Drosophila melanogaster: one gene and its partner. The protein of the gene in region 2 interacts with the protein of the main gene of each other region in a biochemical or structural test. Each region holds a gene or a part of one and is shown on either strand. Other genes may lie near its edges.

Region 1 (9,856 bases), on a different chromosome or scaffold from region 2:
TGCACGCTCTTCAGGCAATTGTCATCTATATTGTTTCGCATTTCCTGCAGACGAGCATATTTATTTAAGTTCTTAGATATCAAAAATAAAACATACATATTTCTTTATGTGTACTGCTTAATTACGTCGTAATCACAGTTCACCTGTCCGTCCCACCTCTTGAATCATTCGAATCACACAACAACGAGTTCTGATAATGGCCACGGTGAGTGTCTGGTGACTAATTCCGGAGCATTTGCACTCGGTTTCCGTAGGACAGTCGTTCCGAATGTGTTACTTCTGCCGAAATTTCGTCATGGGCCAGGCAAATGGGGATTCCGAAAAAGACGCAGGCACGCATATATGTATGTGGATGCACTGAATATACCATCGTGTAGATAGTGGATTTGGAGTATACAAGAGGACAATGCCAAGCCAAGGGCACATATTCAGGTGGGTCGGTCAGTATGACATCATCATGGGTCTGGACAGAGCTGGAGACATCATGCAAATGGACTTCATATCAGATGGCAATTCGTTGTATGCCTAGTTCATTGGCGTCGCTAGAACCGGAGCAGATGGACGGATACGATAATTGCATGTCGAAAACTAGGAGCGCACATTAGCAGTGGGTCAGGCACGTGCTACCATCGACATGACATCATGGCCAGGTCAGGAGGTGAGGCAAAATAGCAACAAGGACATGGACCGAGCACCACACATGCTATGTCACCAGCCCACTAAGCAGCGCAGGCACCAGCCTTTTGGCCACAAATCGACGGCTGGCACAAAAGAAACAAAAGAGACCAGAGACCAAAAGCAGAGAACCAAATCGCTTATCGCAATGGACTGAGCAAACAGCGACAAACATGCGTCTGTGTCCGTGCGTAGATAAGCGCGAGCAGAGCACGCAATCAGCCACTCGCTTATGGTGGCCACAAGTAAAATGTGGCCGGCAGTTACAAAAGGGGCCATGCAAACGGTTGGCCCATCCCCTTCGATTAGGGCAAATGGACAACTGGATTGCACAGAGCAGTCCGCCGAGTAAACACAATGGCAAATATAGTAGCCAGAGCTAAACGGAAAGTTCCTTCGTCGGCAAAGTAAGCGCGCCACAAAGGTGTGCCACATTCTACTGTTTTCCAGTTTGTTTACCAGCTAAAGCCTACATTTCTCCTTATCTGCAGCAGCTCGACAGAAAGTGCAGCGGATCAAGTTGCTGTTGGCGTTGTCTTAGGAGGACATTATATGGTCGTTGCTCCTCATTCGTGTTTATCAACGTTTACTAAAAGTATCACCTAGCTTAGGGCCTAAGAATCTTGGAAACCTACTTTATGTATGTTTATTTGAAACCGAAATACAATCCCAATTGTTTGCTAAAGTCAACGTTTCCGTTCAACGGAAACCGTTCTTGCGCCCTAAATACGTTGCTAACTTTGTTTGCATCGCTGAGTAGTCAATGGATTCGTTGGGAATATATATTTATGTTATGCACATATGCACATCATAAGCATCATAAGCATCATAAACATCCTGCGTTCTTTCAATCGCCGTGTTGACTGTACGTCATCGAGGGAGCGGCGGCATAAGGGTTAGGCGCACGCCCTGCTGCGCCCATCGGGGGGTTAAAATGGGGGCCAACCCCTTGCTCAAGGACATTCGCCGCTGGCTATGAATATTGGATGTAGACGAGAGTCACGAGATCCACCGGGTAACTTTCCAAGTTAACAGGTCACATTGCCACATGGGAGCGAAATTACACAAAAACACGCGAGCAGTGCGCCAAACAGACACGGCTGTGATGCAAAGTCTAAGACTAAAGTACTGTCAATGTCTGATTTGGTAATGCTGCTCATCTTAAGTAATAAGGACATGGGCGGGTAAGGACAGTAGTTAAGACACTGCTCGCAATTATTGGAAATCTCTGTACTTAGGACCTACTTTCTTGCCCGCCACTGTGCACATATGTACACACACGGCGACAACAACTGCTGTTAACCGAAATGTGCTAATAGGCGGTCCAAGGGCGTCGAAAGTGAGGGGGGTGGCTAGCCAAGGGCGCAGTTAAATGGGTTTAATAATTGGGTAGTTAAGCTCATTAAACTAGTTCGTCAAGCGGACATTTAGCTCGATGAATATTAGCGCTTAACCCCTGTCGATTTACGCCCCTGAAAAGTTAACAACTTGCTTTTCTTTGCTCACCATGTTTTCCATGCCAAAACGGATTGGGAAGAAGAAGAGCGAGTGTCCGAATGTTTGGGTTTTATATCTGTCTCCGCCTGTCTTTTCCTCTGCGTTTCTTCACTGCAGACTGTTGTTGTTATTGTTGTTGTTGTTATTATTGCTGTTATTGGTATTGGTAATGGGTGTGCTGGTCGGCGAGGGGCGTGGCGAGGGTGGGCGGGAGTTTTCCGCGTTCTTGGGTGTGCCGCTCCTAAATGATACACTTTTGTTGGCGCCTCTCTTTAGCACTCTCCTCTCCTCCTTGTCGCTCCCGCCGATTTGGATTTGTTTGGGTTATTTTCGAATTAGAATCCCTGGTTGCTGGGCTGCTGTTGTTGCAGTTGTTGCTGTTGTTGCAGGCGCTCTTGTCTCGTCATTAATATTTGCGATTTTTATATTGGAATATATGTGTTTATATTTATAAACGTTTGTCGCCTTGCTAATTTTCTGCCAATGAACACCTTCTTCCACTCTCTCACCCCTTCTCACTTAATCTCTCTCTCTCTGCACCGGTTCACGCCGCTCTCTCGGCGTACTTTGCACAGGAAAAAAAAACGAAGGAATTGCAGCAGAGGCGCTTGGAAAAGCTCAAGCTAACAGCGATTTGTTTAAAAGGAAAATCGATTTTCCCACGACCGTTGTATTTTTTTTCTTTTTTTTGCTTATATTGCCACTTCTTTCTCACTATGCGTGTCGCGGTCCCTATGTGTGTGTGTGTGTGTGTATGTGTGCGCGGTGCGGGTGCTTGCGTGTGTGTGTGTGTGCGCGACGGCGGCGGAGCGATATTGATTTGCAAATTAATTGCAAAATTCACTTGGCGACTTTTGTTCAGCGGGTTGGCGCGCGCATCGCAGGGGCATTCGGATTCGGCAAGGTTCTGAATCAAGTGAATCGAATCCGTGATCTCCGAGTTTCGATTCGTCGGTTTTTTCGATTTTCGTTTCGCCAAGTGACCGTCGCGCGCCGTTGTCGAAATCCAGTGGCAAACGTTCAAACTGAACGGGCAGTGTGGCCCTCTTCAACCGAACTCAACGCAGGGTCGCACTCCAATAGGCGCTAGAGTTTAAAAATAAATAACTTAAAGAAAACGTCTACGTTAAGTATTATACCTGTGTTCATTCATTTAAAAACCGTAATATATTAAACGTACTTATTATCGCTTTTAAACCGTAATGAAGGTTCGTTTGTTTCGTAATTTTGCTAAACTGTATGTTTTTTTAGAATTAAAACTTCTCTTATTATGTGAATAAAATGCAATTTGTACATTTAAGTGTCTCGCCTCGAAAAGCGCGCAAGTTGAAAGGACACTTGGGCGCCGCCGAGACGGTGTTTTCTTTTATTCAAAATTTACATTTCGTATTTTATATATATTCTTTCTGGCGCTGGGATTCTGCCCCGAGCACCTGTTGTATCTTTTACGCTTAAATTTAGTTTTCTCGTCACCGAAAGATCATTATAAGTTATGTTGGTTTGCGTGGCTGTGTCAAAGGTTACAAACAATTTTGGGGGAATATTCTCGCTTGCATGGTGGGCCAATACAATAGGCTAATAAATATTTATACATTAATCGTTTTTTTTGTTTTCACTTTTTGTTGTTTTTTTTTTTTGTTTTTGTTTGTTTGTTTGTAATTTTTCCGTTTTGCCGTAGAATGTGAGGTTTAAAGTGTGATTTAAACGTAGAATTTTAGAGTTCCTTTTCTTTTTTAAATTATGCGTACAAAAAAAAAAGGGGGCTCGTGGTGGGGGGGTGTGGGGGTGTTACAATTACGATTAGGCTGTTCGCTTTAAAATAATATTATCCAAGAAATGTATGTGTGTGTTCCGATCGAACGTCCTCCAGCTGGATACCAGCCACTCTATGTATCCGACTTCCACAGCTTGATGGTCTTGTCGTTCTCGAGCGCCGCGGAAGCAATGATGTTCTCCGTGGGATGGCAGGCGGTGCACAGAACGGTATCGGTGTGTCCCTGCAGCTTTTGCACCACCTCCTTGCTCTGCAGATTCCAAATGTAGACCATGTTGTCCTCGCTGCCACTCACGATCCACTACAATGGACGCTTGTGAGTTAAAGCCTAAATGTGCATAAGATATGAACTCACCTTTCCTCCCGTCACCGAGAAGTTGGCGAATATGCAGTACTTCTCATTCTTGTGACCCGTATACGTCTTCAGGCACTTGCCCTTCGAGTAGTCCCACAACTTGAGCGTATTATCCAGCGTGGCGGCCAAAATGTACTTGCCATTGGGCGAGAACTTTACAAAGCTGACGGGCGGATTGTCGTCGTCGATCAGGGTTTTCAAGCACTGTCCACTGGCCGTGTCCCATATGCGACAGAGGCCGTCGTAGCTGCTGCTCACGATCAGCGATCCGTCGCGATTGAAATGTACCGCCGAAACGGGATCGGAATGGGCGGGTAGAGTCTTCAGACACTTGCCGGTGCGCACATCCCATATGCGAACGCTCTCGTCGAAGCTGCCGGAGACGATCAGATTGGACTGCGGATTAAAGTTGCAGCAGAACACATAGTTGCTGTGGCCCTTCAGAGTTTTCAAGCTCTTCCCGGTGCTCAGCTCCCAGACCTTGAGCGTCTTGTCATCACTGCCGCTCACGAGGAGTCGCGAGTCTGAGCTCCAGGCCACATCGCTGATGCCCAGCTTGTGGCCCGAAATGGTCTTCTCGAACTTGCCATCGTATGCTCCCCAGATTTTGATTAGTTTATCAGCGGCTGAGGGTTAGAAGTGGAAGTTTAATAGGCATGTGCTGTATGTATGGAATGTACAATATGTATTCTATAAATGCTTCTTCTCTTTTCCGAGATCTTATTTCATCCCAATTCCCATTAACTGAGCTGCCAAAGCTGCCTGTTCAGTCCAATAGCAGTTCAGTACCATAAAATTCCCCCCCAGATATTCGTGGATAGGGATGTATGTACTTACAGGAGCTGGCCAGCCACTCGCCATTCGGACTGAACTTGACCGCCGACACCGCCTTGGTGTGCCCGGCCAGCGTGAACTTGAGCGTGTAGTTGGGCTTGACGGATAGCGAGCTCTTGTTGGAGGCGCTGCTGTTCGAGGAGGTGGTGGCCCCCGGCTGGCCCACCGAGTTCGGCTGCAGCGAGTTTGGGCCGCTGGGCGCCGTGGGCAGTGGTTGCTGTGGCGGATGCACTACGCCGGGATGGCCGCCGTGCACGGCTCCGATGGGCACCATGTCCTCCGGATGCGGATTCTGCTTATGCTCCTTGGCCTGGCCTCCTTGTTTATTTTCCTTTTTTCTTTGGCACGCCGCACACGTGCTTCTTCTTCTTGTTGTTCCGACTAGAGAAACGCCGCCAATTAGCGGGCGAATTTGTTGGGCCTGTCGGATTAACTGCAGCTACTCCCGTTACCGGTGGTCACCGGCTGCTCTCTCTGCTGGGCGTGTGATTTGTTTGTTTAAATAGGCGCTTGGTTTTTTGGCTCGTTTGCGTGCCACACGTGAAAATAATAATGCTTAAGGTCACACTAATAACTAAAAATTGGTCAGCGCGTCAGTGTGGCCGTTGCGCACCAGCCACGGATTGCCACAGCGGTGGTGGAACGTGTTTACTCGATTCCTTGCTTTTTGTTTTTTTTTTTAGGGAGATTTGGGATGTTTTCGTCCTTGGGGGATGATTCTAGAATGGGACTCTTAGTTTCCCGCTGAAACTATCAGGGGGAGTGCATCGGGCACATCGATGCCAAATTGCATGCAGTTAGCTCGACGTTGCCAGATCGTTTCATACATGTTTGAAGTTTCGCGTACAGTTGCATTTAAATTTATACCAATTGCCAGTAGTTATTTAGTCTTAAAATTGCAGGTAATTCTAACTGAACTGTCAATTTTGAAGGGCTTAAGAAGGATTTACATAGTGTTAGAACATTTTTTGCGCCTTTAAGATTTCAAACCAAAAATTTCCTAGCAGCAACCAAGATTTGTAGGAAAATACATCTAACTCCTTTGGCGACTCACAATTTATGTATAAATATTATTTAATTACAATATTTACAATATATATCTAAAAAAATTCAATTGGCATTTTTTTCAACTGGACATAGCCGACAGTTGGCATTCCGCAGACAGCTGCACCTGGCCACACTGGCCCAAGCTGTTAGACCAAAACATTCCCAGTTCAGTTTCCAATTGGACGCCAGGATCAAAGGAGCGCAGCCGCGGGCACAGGAGCACGCGAAGCACACGGAGCCAAGGACTCGAGGACCCGAGGAGCACAAGAAGCCAAGAAGAGCCCAGCTGCTGGCCAGAATGAACGGACTGCCGCCGAGCAAGCACTACAACCTGACGCACTACCAGCAGCGCTACAACTGGGACTGCGGTCTGTCCTGCATCATTATGATCCTGTCGGCGCAGCAAAGGGAACAGCTTCTTGGGAACTTTGATGCCGTGTGCGGCGAGGAGGGATTTGGCTCGAGCACCTGGACCATCGACCTGTGCTATCTGCTGATGCGCTACCAGGTGGGCATGCCGTGATGCACATTTGCATTCGCTCACTTCTTTGACACTCTCTTCTTGGCCAGGTGCGCCACGAGTACTTCACCCAAACGCTCGGGATCGATCCCAACTACGCGCAGCACACGTACTACTCCAAGATCATCGACAAGGACGAACGGCGCGTGACGCGCAAGTTCAAGGACGCCCGGGCCCATGGACTGCGCGTTGAACAGCGCACCGTGGACATGGAGGTCATTCTGCGGCATTTGGCCCGCCACGGACCCGTCATCCTGCTGACCAACGCCTCGCTGCTCACGTGCGAGGTGTGCAAGCGCAATGTCCTAGAGAAGTTCGGGTGAGTTCCTCTTGCCACCGGCGATTCACAAAAAACCACCTTAAATCCACACTCGAATGAAAAGCTGTTTTCATATACCCTGCATTGCTCAAAATACACGCCTCCATGGACCCAAAAGGTATGCCGGACACTATGTGGTGCTCTGCGGATATGACATGGCCGCCCAGAAGCTCTTCTACCACAATCCCGAGGTCCACGATGGCCGTGAGTATTCCATTTGGTAGCAATCCTTGAAAATTCATTGATTTTCGTTTTTGGCTGCGTTCCACAGACATTTGTCGCTGCCTCATCGAGTCCATGGACACGGCCCGACGCGCCTACGGCACGGACGAGGACATCATTTTCATATACGAGAAGAAGGAAACTAGGGAGTAGTAGATGGATAAACCAGCGGAACAGATGAACAAATGAACAGATGAATTGATGAACAGATGAACAGAAGTACCTGCCGTCGCCAGGTTGCCAGGTGATGAGAACGGATGATTGGAATCTGCGCTTGTGATATTAGGACTTTAGGAGGAGACCTTGTAGGGGGGGACTTCGAGTGGGAGGTAAGAGAAAAAGCTGTCTGGTTAACTTTGGCACAACAGTGTACTTTATTTAGGTATTGTTAGCAGTTGGTCCCCATACAAAAAAAAACAATTACAAAATTATATTTATGTAAACGTGCCAGGCAGCGTCTACTCGTACATTATAGAGGCGTTCCATTGACGCTCCAAAAACCGTCGACGGAAAGTCCGAAAATCCAATGTTATTTCATAGTTATGTTTAAACACAGAACAATAGTAATTGTTCCCTAGCTTTAACTTTCCGTTAAACGCCCCCCAACTAATTTCCATATTTGTAGTACGAAAACATTCCAATAACGATTATGCAATGTATGTATATGTAGAAAATAAATGAGATTATTGTTCCAAATGTGAGCCAGCCGGGTGACTCCTTAAAGCGACTGCTTCTTCTCATCCTGGTCATCCGCGCAGATCGCCTTGTAGAGCTGCTGCAATTTGATGTGGGGCGCCTCCACGGGCAAGATCACCTTGCCATTCTCATCCGTATACTTGCTGTAGGGTTGCTCCGAGAAGACCTCAAAGCCATGGGAACGAAAGATCTTCTGCGAGAAGATGCCGGTGGCATCGGCCTTCAGCAGGCGAAAGCCATTCTTTTTGGCCACCGCCACGGACCGCTTGACCAGCTCATTCGCAATCCCCTGGCCACGGTAGCACGAGTCCACCGATAGGATGCGCACATCGAACATGCAGTCCACGTCGAAGTGCTCGAAGAGATTGTGCTTGAGATTGTGCCTGTGCAGCAAGTCGAAAATCTTGCGGAAATCTGCATCGTCGTTGCAGTCCAGCTTGCTCAGCGCCTTGGCCGTGTCGCCCGGCTTCAGGATGCCATTGAGGACGACGCCGACTATTTTCAAGGTATCCTTCTCCTTTGCGTCCACAGCCATCACGCTCATCCGGTGCTGTATGGCCTCGGCACAGTGCGCCTCCAGGGCGGGGCAACTGCTGCCGTTCTGGCACAAGCCGGCGGCCTTGTTTAGCGGCTCGTCGGCAAAGAAGTTGCGCCGCAGATGCTCCATCACCTGTTCACTGTGCTCCGGTGCAATCATCTTGTACTCCATGGTGTCACAGCCGCTGCAATCGCCGAATTGTCTGCGGATGGTAAAGAAGATCTATGGGAGGAGCTTATTAATAATATTATTACTAATAGATCTCGATGATTTAAAATATAAACTAAATTCGAATGGTAAGTACGCATTACATTACAACCGTACATTTAAGCACTATTAATTTTTTTAATTTTAATTTTCGTTTGCAAAAGTCTAGGTACATACATGTGGGTACTCTTTTCCTATAACTCAATTAGTCGCAACTCTCTGCCTGTCCTTTCAACTCTCGACCTCTTGCCTCTCGCTCGCTCCCACTGCACTTTCACTATTCTTTGTGTTGCCCCAATGACACACCCCCAACGAATGCCACCCCCCCTGCGAGAATAGCCCACCTAATCCCAGGCACCGCGACCAAAGCGGTGTCATCCGTGGCCAACCGATTTCGGTGCTGGATTTTGTTAGTTAGTTCCACTTACTCAGTTCGTCTGTGGCCAATGGGATCGGGATCGGATGAGCTGGACGGCGGGCAGAGGTGCGCTGTTTGTTTTGCTCGACGAAAAAATGTGTAACCTACTTGCGGGCGCTTTCAGATGCGAAATGCGACTGGAGCAGCTGGAGCAGCCGACCAAGCGAAGCGCCAGCGACAGCATCCCGTTAATACACATCGAGAAAATACTCAGACCAAGTTAGACTTCTAACTGCAAACCAATGAAAATTGAAATTACTTCGCATTCCACGTAAGTGTAGCTCTAAAAACCTTTGGGTTTCAATAGTATTTCACACGTTATTTGTAGGTCAAACCACTCCAATTGACTTCAAATTTTCGCTGCGTGTACGCCCTCGTGTTTGCCTCATTGCCGAAGCATGAGAAAAATGCTATCCTCTGGGATGGGTTGAAATTAAAGTATGGACAGGGAGCGGGGAGCTCGTATCCTTCGAGTGACAGCCATGCGTATACGCAACATACGCACACTGGAGCAATGGGAGCGATTGCCGCCTGCTCGTGACTTGTGTGCCGAAGTACAGTGAAATCGAGAGTTTCCACCGCCCCAAATGCGCCACGAAAAATACGTGTGGTATACGCACCAACTGTTGATTCCGCCGCACAATGTGAGCCGCACTCATATACAGATTTTGACTCTCGACCAGGACGAGAACGTGACATTACCACCATTAAGTAAGTGAGGGGGCAACCCGTGTTATCCTTTGATTATATGGCA
Region 2 (10,238 bases):
ATTAATTCAAATATTAATTTTTAGCACCTGGAATCAGTGAAATTTAGTTAAAAATGTATGAAGCAATGTGAAACCAATTATTTTTATGAGCCATAGTGGTAGATTGTATTTACTAATATCTAATTATATTGCTTTACAATTAAGATATATATCAGGACATGTATTTTGGAATACAACAGGAGCACTTATTTAATTATAAACTTAACATTTGAGAATACCACTACTGCTGTCGAAATATATTACCCGTTGAATAAGGTGTGGCCAGCTTGCGTTCGTAACAGCTCGGTAAAATGTTAGCTTGTGGCTTCGCGCACACGGTCACACCCTCATTTTGCACCGAAAATAAAAGCAATTTGATAAATAAACGCGACAATTGCCACCAAATTGGCCAGGAGCAGGCGAAACTGCAACTCCCGGATTTGCGGAAGCAGCTATGGTTGGGAAAAACTTCAAGGCTCTAGCGCACTTCCACCGACTGACCGAGTACATAGTTCAGTGCAAACACTGCGAGAAGACATTGTCCTCCAAACACACATCCTCCAACTTGACGCGCCACTTAATCCGGAACCACAAGCTCTTGGCCCGATCAATTTTTGCCGGCGAGGAGGGTAAGATGCTGGCGGAGCTGAAGGACGAGCTGGAAGCCTCCGCCTCCGAGGACCTGAGCATGGAGCTCGGAGAGGGCGAGACCAAGTCGGCGGTGCGCGGCATCATGAACGCGAAGCTCGAACAAGAGCAGATGGAGCGGCACAGCCAGGAGGAGATGCGCAACAAGGTCATTGGGAAGAACAATAAACTGTGGGCGCACTTTATCCGCATCTCCGAATTCATGGCCAAATGTATGCACTGCGGCAAGACGCTCTCCTCGAAGCACTCGTCCTCCAATCTGATGCGACACATTGTGCGTCGTCACACCAGCCTGGCCAAGACGCTGAATCACTCGCACCAGCACCTCATGACACCCAAGAAGGACTCCTACGCCAGCCTGGAGCGTAGGCAGGCGGCTGATCCCCTGGAGAAAGTCAACTTTGACGATGTGGACAGCATCATCGAAAAGGTGGCCGATCACCTTGAAGAAGAGGTTTGTCCACGGACCACTTCCGCTCCCCTACCCACATTTAGCCTCTACATGCTTTCGATCTTTGATTTAAGGTCACTTCGATTTCGCTGCAGGAACCCTTCTACGAGTACGTTGTGGACAACTCGGACTCCGTGGTGGTGGACAGGTGCGATGAGCCGGAGCCGGCGGAGATGCAGAACATGATTCCGCAGGACAGCGCCTCGCTGGCGGAGTCCACCACACAGCTGGACGAGAAGCTCAAGGCGGAAACGATATACTACAACGAGATGGCCGAGTTGGCCAGGGCCAAGCGGCGGCTCATTGATCTGCAGACCAAAAAGCTTCTCCTGGACATGAACGTAGTGGACAACTAGCCCATCGACGATTGGAACGGCTTGTGTTTGTAGGTGGATAAGGCGGGCAATATGATTATTTACACTTAGGTATGATTATACTTTAAACGATTTTATGATCTGAGCATTTATTGTGCGGGGGATTAATTTCCACGAGGGAAGGGCATAGAAATTGAAAGAGAAGTAATTTGGCCATTGCATGTTATTCTTATGTCCTTTTATTAATTTATATATTATTTGTAAAAAGTGCCGGCTTAAAAGCGATCATTTCAGCTCGTAAATAAACTTCACCGTTACGCTTAGAGTTAGTAACAAACTGTAGCTCAATTATGTGTTATTAATATGCTTAATCTAGGATTCTACTCATTGTAACTAAACGCACATTCAATAGTGAGCACTGTACTTAAACGGTGGGAAATACCGGATATTTGCACTACAAGATTAATAATTATGTTGCGGTCACACTCCTCGATAACTTCCAATATCGAAGTAGGTTGTGTCAGTTATCGCTAGAAAGCAGGCAGAGATTTGTTTACTTCTGCGAAGATTAATTCAGCAGAAGCACGGAAATACGGATCCTTAATCATGACTAGATATTCACGTAAAAACCAGGCCTTGCTTCAACTCCCCGTTCCTTGGAGAACAGGAACGTAAAACCGGCCTATAAGGGTATGTTAGCCGGGTATCTGGTGCACCCACATTATTAAGTTGAGACCCCTCTTAGTTTCCTAGGGCTTGGAACGGAGGGGGAAAGTGATACTTCAAACGTGTCAAGGAGTAGGGTAGAACGCTCTTGATGTGTTCAGCGCAGAGCACCAATCAGTAGCGATCAGCAGCAACGTAAGCGAAACGGACCATCGGACTCAAATGGGAAGAATCACAAACGGAGATGCAGATGCATCTGTCTATTTAGGCCTGGAAGTACAAGGAGTTGATCCAGGACAACCCGACAATGGCCCTGGTAGACGAGCGCCACGCAGACGGCTGCTTGCTCTTCGAAAAGTGGTGTCAGATCGAGGCGAGGCTGGCTCGCATTGTGGCGGATAGACGGGCGGCGGTGCCTCAAGGACCTCACCCGTTGCTTGACTCCTCATTTGTTATTCGAGGACACCGGATGATCAGGTGCTAGGACGGCTTCTCTAAGATCTTCCTAGAGGATTGCATTGAGCAATTAGCCGACGCATGGGATGGACTATGCATTAAGCTTGTTCACGCCAGCGAAATACCCAGTTCAAGTCAAGCGGCCCGTTTTGTTCATCAAGTAAGTAAGAGCTTTTCCTGTTTGTACAAAGACAATACAGTTTATGAAATAAATAAACGATTGAAGGAACGAATTTGGATTGTTTTTAAATTCCGCCCTGGTTTGCGCCACCGCTGATTGTCTATCATGGGTTGCAACCACGTGGAACTACAGTTATTTTTAGGCCTTTTTTCGCGCTTCGATGGTAAACACATTTTGTTTATTGCTTAGCTCTGAGAAACCAAGACGCAATAATTGACAAAATGTCCAGTATTTGGACAAAAAGGAAGGACTCTTTCTGCAATAACGAAAATATAAGGGCTCAGAAGTTCGAGGATGTGATTGTAATCGATGACAATGGTAAGTCGTGTGTTGTCAGCCTTCTCGATGCTAACTGCTACACTTGGTCCTTCAAGATCGTGGCGACTCTCTCCGGAGTGTAAAATCCGAGCCCCCTGAAGAAAAGCCCCGCTTATCTCCACAGGACGCTAATCAAAAACGTGCAGTAAAGGAGGAGAAGGAAATGTCCAGGCGCGCACGCGCTCGAGCCAAGAAAATACGGAATACAGAGGCAAGAGCAGCGAAATCGGTGGTTACCAGGGGTGCGGGTAAAAAAGCAAGGAAGCGTAAGAAGCAAAATAAAGCGGCACTCAAGAAGGCTAGTGAACTTGAACCCAAAAAGGCAAAGGGCTCCAAGGAGGCTAGTGCCCACAAGAAGGCAAAGGGACCCAAGAATACAAGTCCTCCTATGGCTGCGAAGCCCAATTTGGCAAAGAGTGACAACCTGACGATGGCCCTGGTGGACGAGCTCCACGAAGACGGCCGTCTGCTTAACGAAAGGTGGCAGGAGGTCGAGGCCCAGCTGGCGTACATGGTGACTGACAGAGTCATGGCCATGCCGGGGGGTCCCGTCCCGTCCTTCGATAGCTCAGACGTAGTTCGTGGCCACCGAGTGATCCGGTGCGAAGACGGATTTTCAAAGGTATTCCTGTCGGACTGTGTTGCCGCGATTAGCAACTCGTGGCATGACATGCGCATCAAGCTCGTCCATGTCAGCGATGTACCATTTGCGCCTCAGGCGCGCATCTGGTTGCCCACGGGTCAAACGGACCACAACCGGATCATGATCTGCTTGAGAGCCCAGAACCTAAATGTGGACATGTCGGACTGGTCCATCCTCAGGGCGGAGGAAGTCATGGAGATCAGTCAGAGTTTCCTGCTCCTTATCAACCGGAGGTGCATCCCGCAACTGGATGCAGTGGACTACAAGTTGCGCTATGGCATACGAATGGCCCAGATCCAGCTCATTTTAAGCGAAGCAGACGATTTGCCATCGGAGTTCGACAACTACCACCCATTTTGCCATTTTCCCCATTAAACCATAAATCCTCAGGCTCTAAGCTATGTTTATTAGAGTAATAATATTGTTAGAGAAAGAAACGAATTTCATAACCTAATAAATCTCCAATTGGTTTTAGATGCCAACTTAGACAGCATTTTTATCAAATTTAACCTTAATCTTAAGATATTTTTAAATATAGAAACTCAACATGGGAGGTGGGATACCCTCTTTTGGTTCATGGCGATGCTGACTGGTTGGCAAGCGTGACAACGTGTGGGGTATTTATGCTCTACTTTGCTGTGGTCACACTGTTTCCACAGCATTTTATTTCATTTCGCTTCGTCTGAAAAATCAGAGAACAATTTCTAAAAAGCGGCAAAAATCTTGAAAGGACGATGTCCAGCTTTTCGCCAAACCAATTGCGGCAGTGCGCCCGCTTCACCGGCACGCCCTGCACTCCGGACAAGGAGCACCAGCTGCGGGAGCAGATCCACAGCGAGCTGGTCAAGATTAAGTACTGCGCCAATCCCACCTACGAGTGCAGCCTGATGCGGATCGAGGGCTACGAGTATTGCATCCGACACATCCTGCGCGACCCGCGCTCCAACTTCCGACAGTGCTCGCACGTCTACTCGAACGGCAGGAAGTGCATCAACGCGGTGGCCAAGTATGACAACAAGAAGGAGCTGATCCTGACGACCCTCTGCTTCGAGCACAACCGGCAGACGCAGCTGCAGAAGACGCACATGAATGTGGGCCGCATTCGCAGCCGGGTGGAGACCAACGAGACCCTGCTGCACAGCCTCTCATCGCACATTAATGTGGAGGACATAAAGCCAGAGGTGAAAAAGATCGAACGCGATGATGATGAAATCGATGTGGTCTCACCCCACGTGACGCCATTTGGTATGTCTTGCTGACTATAAACCGAGCTGAAATCTAATTTTCCTCACTTCTAGTCACTCAGGATCACCGCAATTCCATAGGACATGTTGTGGAGAGCTCTCGCAAGCGACGTCGCATTTTGGATTATGCTTCCGATAGTTCCAGCAACGATGCAGATCCGCCCTGTCTCAGGAACACCGCCCAGGACATTGAGTTTTACGAATCTGACCATGAGAGTATCGATTCGGAGGATGATGATCCTTTGAAGTAAGATTTGATTTATTCGTAGCACTATTTTTTAAGGAAATTTTAATTTTTTCTTCTCCCTTGTAGACACGCTGGCGTCTTTACACGCGCAGAGGCAGTAAAGATTGCCGAAACGAAGCTGATCAAGCTTCAGGGTCTTTACCGCGAGCAGATTTCATATCTGCAGAACGTGCTGAGGCAGCGACGTCGCAAGTATTTGCACGATATACGACGCGAGCGAGAGCTATATTGTAAGTTTCACTTGCCTTTAGGTATGCAGGATAATGTGTCTTATGCCACACTTTCAGGCAGCATTCACGATCAGCTAAAGGACACGCCACACGAGCGAAAGCTGTACGAGCAGCTAAAGGCGCTGAATAGCTATCATCGACGCCAGGGCGTCGAGGCGGTGCTCTACAAGAAACTGAAGGAGAAGCGAGCTCGCGACGCCTTGTACGCAGCCAAGTCGTCGAGCAACCCGAAGTGCGTCTTCACCGAAGGCGGTGTCAAGTGTGGTGAGCGAACGCTGCCCTGCTGCAAGCACTGCCGCAAGCACATTCTGGAGGATAAGCGCCAGGTGCTGTTCCGAGCCTGCGGCGTGGAGCGGAGTGGGGTGGTCTGCCAGGAGCCAGTGGCTAGCATTCTCGAAGACTCCAGTTGCGTACTGCACCTGACCGTGGCGCCGGCTAAGCGCCAGTATATACAAAAGGTGCGTTGATCAAACACTAACCCAACCCACGCCATAACCACCACAAGTAACTGCTTATATATTCCAACTGTCCACTCACCCATTGCCATAAGTTGTGTTGCACATGACTGCTGAAACTATAGTAAGCCAACTGTAAGACAGTTCGAACAAACAATACTGCGTAACTAGTATTTAGGCTTGATTTGTAGTAAAGCTAAGTATATCTAGAGAAACAACACGAAACACATGTATATAAGTGCTAGTACTGTCTAAGCAAGCCCTTTGTGATCGACCCTGAATAAATTGCCGACCTCTCATCCCCCAGTTTTATGAAGTTCCCAGCACTCCGCCGGTAGAAAGTATTTTCGCAGCAGGCCGTGGTCTCGATAACTTTGTCGGAGAAGACCCACGGAATGAGCCGCAGCCGGAGGGGGATGACCTCTTGGATTTTGCCAATGGTATATTCGATTTTGACCTTGACGGAGTTGACGATCTGGCAAACTCCCTCGACGATGATTACTCCATGTTCCTGGACATGGACAGTGACCTGGGCTTAGCCATTGAAGATGACGGTGTGGAGAGCGATCCTGTAGACTTAGGCCTCGAGGAGGAGGGCGATGGCGGGTCCAACGACTCAGTTGGTCCAGCTGAAAGTCAGGCTCAAGATAACCTCATCGCAGACAACTTTGAGTTAGAAGAACCATCCGTGCAAGACAATAACGAACTTAACTTTGATATCGACGAGTCGGAGAGCAATGTGAACGAAGTGTTGCGCTTGCTCGAGGGCATAGAACACATGCCCTGGTTCGATGCCCTCATGAACTAGTCTAATAGCGTAGTAAACGTAATAACCCACCATACTAACCCAAATCCAGAAAAAAGCCCAAAGTATCTCTTCTTCTCATGCTTGCAATTCCCTTTACTTCACAGAAATGCGAATCGGAGACCGAGGAGGAGGAGACCCAGTCCACCAGCTTGATTAGCACCATAAAAAAGGAGGAGGAGGACCCCTCGGATAAGCTGTATACGAGTCAAGCCCTCAACGTGACCACCGCACATGGCGAAGACAACAAGGGCGACGTGAAGCCCAGGGAGTACGCCCCAAACAGATCTTAAACTAATTTTTAAGCCCTCGTAGATTAAATGTTTACTGTTGCAATCATAGAAACCTAGATATAAATCTCCGACACGAAAATGTCAGTTGGTTTTGTACTCAGCCATTGTAGTTTTTGGTGCATTCGGGTGTAAGGAACCCCTAATAAATAGGCACTCTTAAGTTAAAAATCTATTTATTTACATTTATTGGCTTTCCATAGTTTATACAACTTAAACAGTTTATATTAATGCATGTACATGTTTTCAACAATTCCTAAAGAAAACGACTGCGTCTGGCAGTTTCGTAAGTGTGTGGGAAGTATGCACTCTGCGTTCGCTTAAATATAATGACTGTAATTATTTGATCTTAAGCACGGTTAAATATATTAGTTATCAGTTCCTCCATTCTGCATCTCCGCTCAGGTATTTACAGATTGCTCGTGCTATGATCATAAATTGATGGCAACCGCTCTCGTTGTTAAAATGCACTATTAAAATTACAAATTGGCAGCTAAGTATATTAACAAGTCTGTAAAATGTATCGAAACCAGAATATTCCTAGTGTATTCCCTACAGTTCCGTAGTTGTTTCCACCTCCGACCTATCCAGATCGTTTAGATATGAGAACCCTATTTGGCCATAGTCCCTCTTCCCGAAGGACACGTTCTCATTGGTGCTGCTCAGGTGGTTGTGATCGGAATTGGATCTGCAGGATAGAGGGTGTTACCAATTATAGTTATAGTTATAAACTAGGAAGTAAGCTATGCATACCTTTGAAACAGCGGGTTGGTGATGGGCACCTCTCCGCCGTACAGGCGATTGTTGAGCTGGCCATTCCGACCCAGCGTGGCGTTCATCAGCTCCCCGTTGCCATTGAGCAATCCCACGTCGCCGAAGGTGTTTCCCCGCCTGCCCATGGTGCTGTAGGCATTGTTCTTGGCATGGGCCATGTTGTTGGGCCCAGTTGGGTCTATGTTGTAGGCGCCGTTCTGGTAGTGGTTGCTGTTCTGGTGCTTGATGCGGCCCAAAGTCAGGGTGCCCGAGAGGGCTCCGTTCGGCGGAGATGCCAGCGGATTGGCGTTGTTGCGGGTGTTCATCTCCAGGGTTCTATTGAAGGTGTTCTGCCTGTTGTTGATGGCCAGATTGTTGTTCATGCTGGCGTTATTGAGATTCTTATGGCGGCGCAGAGTGGCAATCGTGGCCGTGGTGGCATCCGAGTGGGAGGGACTGGACTGGCCACCGCCGTTGGTGTTCTCCTTGTGCGTTATGTAGCTAACATTGTCCAGCGAGAAGGCATGGTTCTTGGCACTAAAGTCCAGCTGCAGATCATCGTCCACATCCGGTGGCACTGCCATGGCCAGCATCTGGGTCTCGTACTCCTTCATGTTGGCTATGGTTTCGCTGGCACTCGAGGCCTGCTGGTTAACGATCACGGGATCGTAGCGGGGAGGATTCGTGGAGGAGTACTGGCGCATCCGCTGCTTGAAGTTCTTGTACCTATAAAGAGCAAGTGTGTATGCAAAGATTTAAGTAAAAGTAAATAGAGGTTACATGTTATCCACTCACTTTGACCAAGAGATGCATATGTAAATGATGCCAATCGTGCCCAGGATGAGTATAACAAGTGATATGGCAATCAGAGTGAAGGGGAAGACTTCGTTGTCGATGGCTACGGCGGCTTTGACCTGGAAGTGCCAAAGCTATATATAGTATATCCTAAGAAAAAGTAGTAGTAGAATTAGTTGCCCACCTTGTGAACGTGCTCCTTCCTCTCCAGGGGAAACGATATATTCTCGGCTGTGGCTCGCGGCAGGGCTATGTTCAGCTCCGATCGCGCAGCCGGTTCCAGTAAAGTGGTCTCCACAATGCTGTCCTTACGGCTGACGAGCTGCTCCGTCTTGGGATCGATGAGGTAGAACCATATGTCCGTAGCAGCCGGGTTCTCGATCACCGATCCGTTCTTGGCCAGGTACTTCTGGCTGCTCATCCGTTCAATGCCGCTGACCAGGCCGGTCTTCTTGTCCAGCAGCTCCTCCAGCTCCGTGTAGTAGTTGCGGAGATCGCTGGGCGCTGCATTCGGGAAGGATAGCGCCATGCGGTTGATGTCCGCCAGCTTATTGACCACTATCCTGGCCCTCGTGCGATGGGATCCCTGCTCCTGGCCATCGCTATCACGGGCTTCCACCAAAAAGGTGAGTGGAAAGTCGTTTTCGTTCTTGAAGTGCTTGGCAGTTCGTAGAACTCCAGTGTCTTCGGACATCATGAAGAAGCTGGTGGGCTGGAAACATCATATGATAATTATCAAAAAAAAAAATTCATTGCCTAATGTAGAGTATAGATTTCTCACCATGTTAACCCGGTTTTCATCGTCGTCGTAGAGAGTGTAGCGAACGGTTCCAAATTTCCCCGAATCACGATCTGTGGCTCGCACCTGCAAAATGGTTGTGTCAACATCCATTTCCTCCGTCACCACCGTGTAGAAGGTGTCTTGCTGGCCGCGCAGCCTGTTAAACTCGAACTCCGGTGCGTTGTCGTTCTCGTCCTGGACTATGATCTCCACGCTGGTGGTGTCCTTCAGGGGATTGACGAAGTAGCGATGCGATGTCAGGCGCAACTGGAGGCTGTACGAGCTCTTGTTCTCGAAGTCCAAAGGTTGGATGAGCAGTAAGTTACAGCCATGATCGGCGGAGCTCAGATTGAAGATGCCCCCCCCGTTGCCACTGACGAATTCACACCTGAATGCCGGCGGCCCGTCGCCAGACGTCTTGGAATTCACAATCTGAATGAGCTTAAGGGTGCTATTGGCTTCCATTGACTCCGGCACACTGGTGGTGTAGCTGTCGTCGCTGAAGGCCAAGCCTATACTTTCACTGCTCATGCCCGTTCCACTTTCCAGCTTATTGTCCAATTTGATTTCATTATTGCCGCTGGACAAAAGATGGTGTACGTCGACGCGCAGTGGAGCCACCGAGCTCAGCTGTGGTTCCCCCAGGTCGTATGCCCGTATGTCCACCTGGTACTCCGTGTCCTCCTCTTTGCGCAGTTCATCTCTTATGCGCACCGCTCCGGTGTCGGGATCCACTTGGAAGTATTTGGGCGCCTTGCCGCGACCCACGATCTCGTAGCGCACCACATTTCCCGGCGAAGTGCCATCGCCATCGATCGCGGGCAGAGTGGCTATAATGGTTCCTATGCCCTGGTCGTCGTTCACGGTCACCGGATCGGGAACTGTTATAAACCGCGGAGGCAGATCGTTGCGATCCTCCACATCAACCACCAGCAGGATTGTGTCGCCTGGTCCATTGCCATCGTTCTCTATGGTTCCAATG

Evidence for each region.
Region 1: the proteins of dgt1 (region 2) and wds form a complex in vitro, tested with the Drosophila melanogaster proteins (one study listed by BioGRID).

What each region holds. Positions count from the first base shown.
Region 1 is NC_004354.4:2,581,832-2,591,687, reverse strand, and holds wds (will die slowly), read right to left. Parts: upstream 5,709-9,856; 5' UTR 5,410-5,708; coding exon 5,139-5,409; intron 4,928-5,138; coding exon 4,302-4,927; intron 4,248-4,301; coding exon 4,059-4,247; 3' UTR 3,471-4,058; downstream 1-3,470. Other genes in the region: CG13760 (uncharacterized protein), read left to right, coding at 6,481-6,690, 6,753-7,021, 7,086-7,225, 7,293-7,396; AANATL7 (arylalkylamine N-acetyltransferase-like 7), read right to left, coding at 7,962-8,648.
Region 2 is NT_033777.3:29,851,550-29,861,787, reverse strand, and holds dgt1 (dim gamma-tubulin 1), read left to right. Parts: upstream 1-4,296; 5' UTR 4,297-4,390; coding exon 4,391-4,901; intron 4,902-4,954; coding exon 4,955-5,147; intron 5,148-5,213; coding exon 5,214-5,377; intron 5,378-5,434; coding exon 5,435-5,835; coding exon of another isoform or gene 5,836-5,844; exon of another isoform or gene 5,845-6,139; coding exon 6,140-6,640; 3' UTR 6,641-6,658; intron 6,659-6,744; coding exon of another isoform or gene 6,745-6,930; 3' UTR 6,931-7,093; downstream 7,094-10,238. Other genes in the region: CG15514 (uncharacterized protein), read left to right, coding at 434-1,081, 1,153-1,434; CG7824 (uncharacterized protein), read left to right, coding at 2,917-3,013, 3,070-4,031; Cad99C (cadherin 99C), read right to left, coding at 7,480-7,615, 7,681-8,406, 8,476-8,594, 8,660-9,187, 9,257-10,238.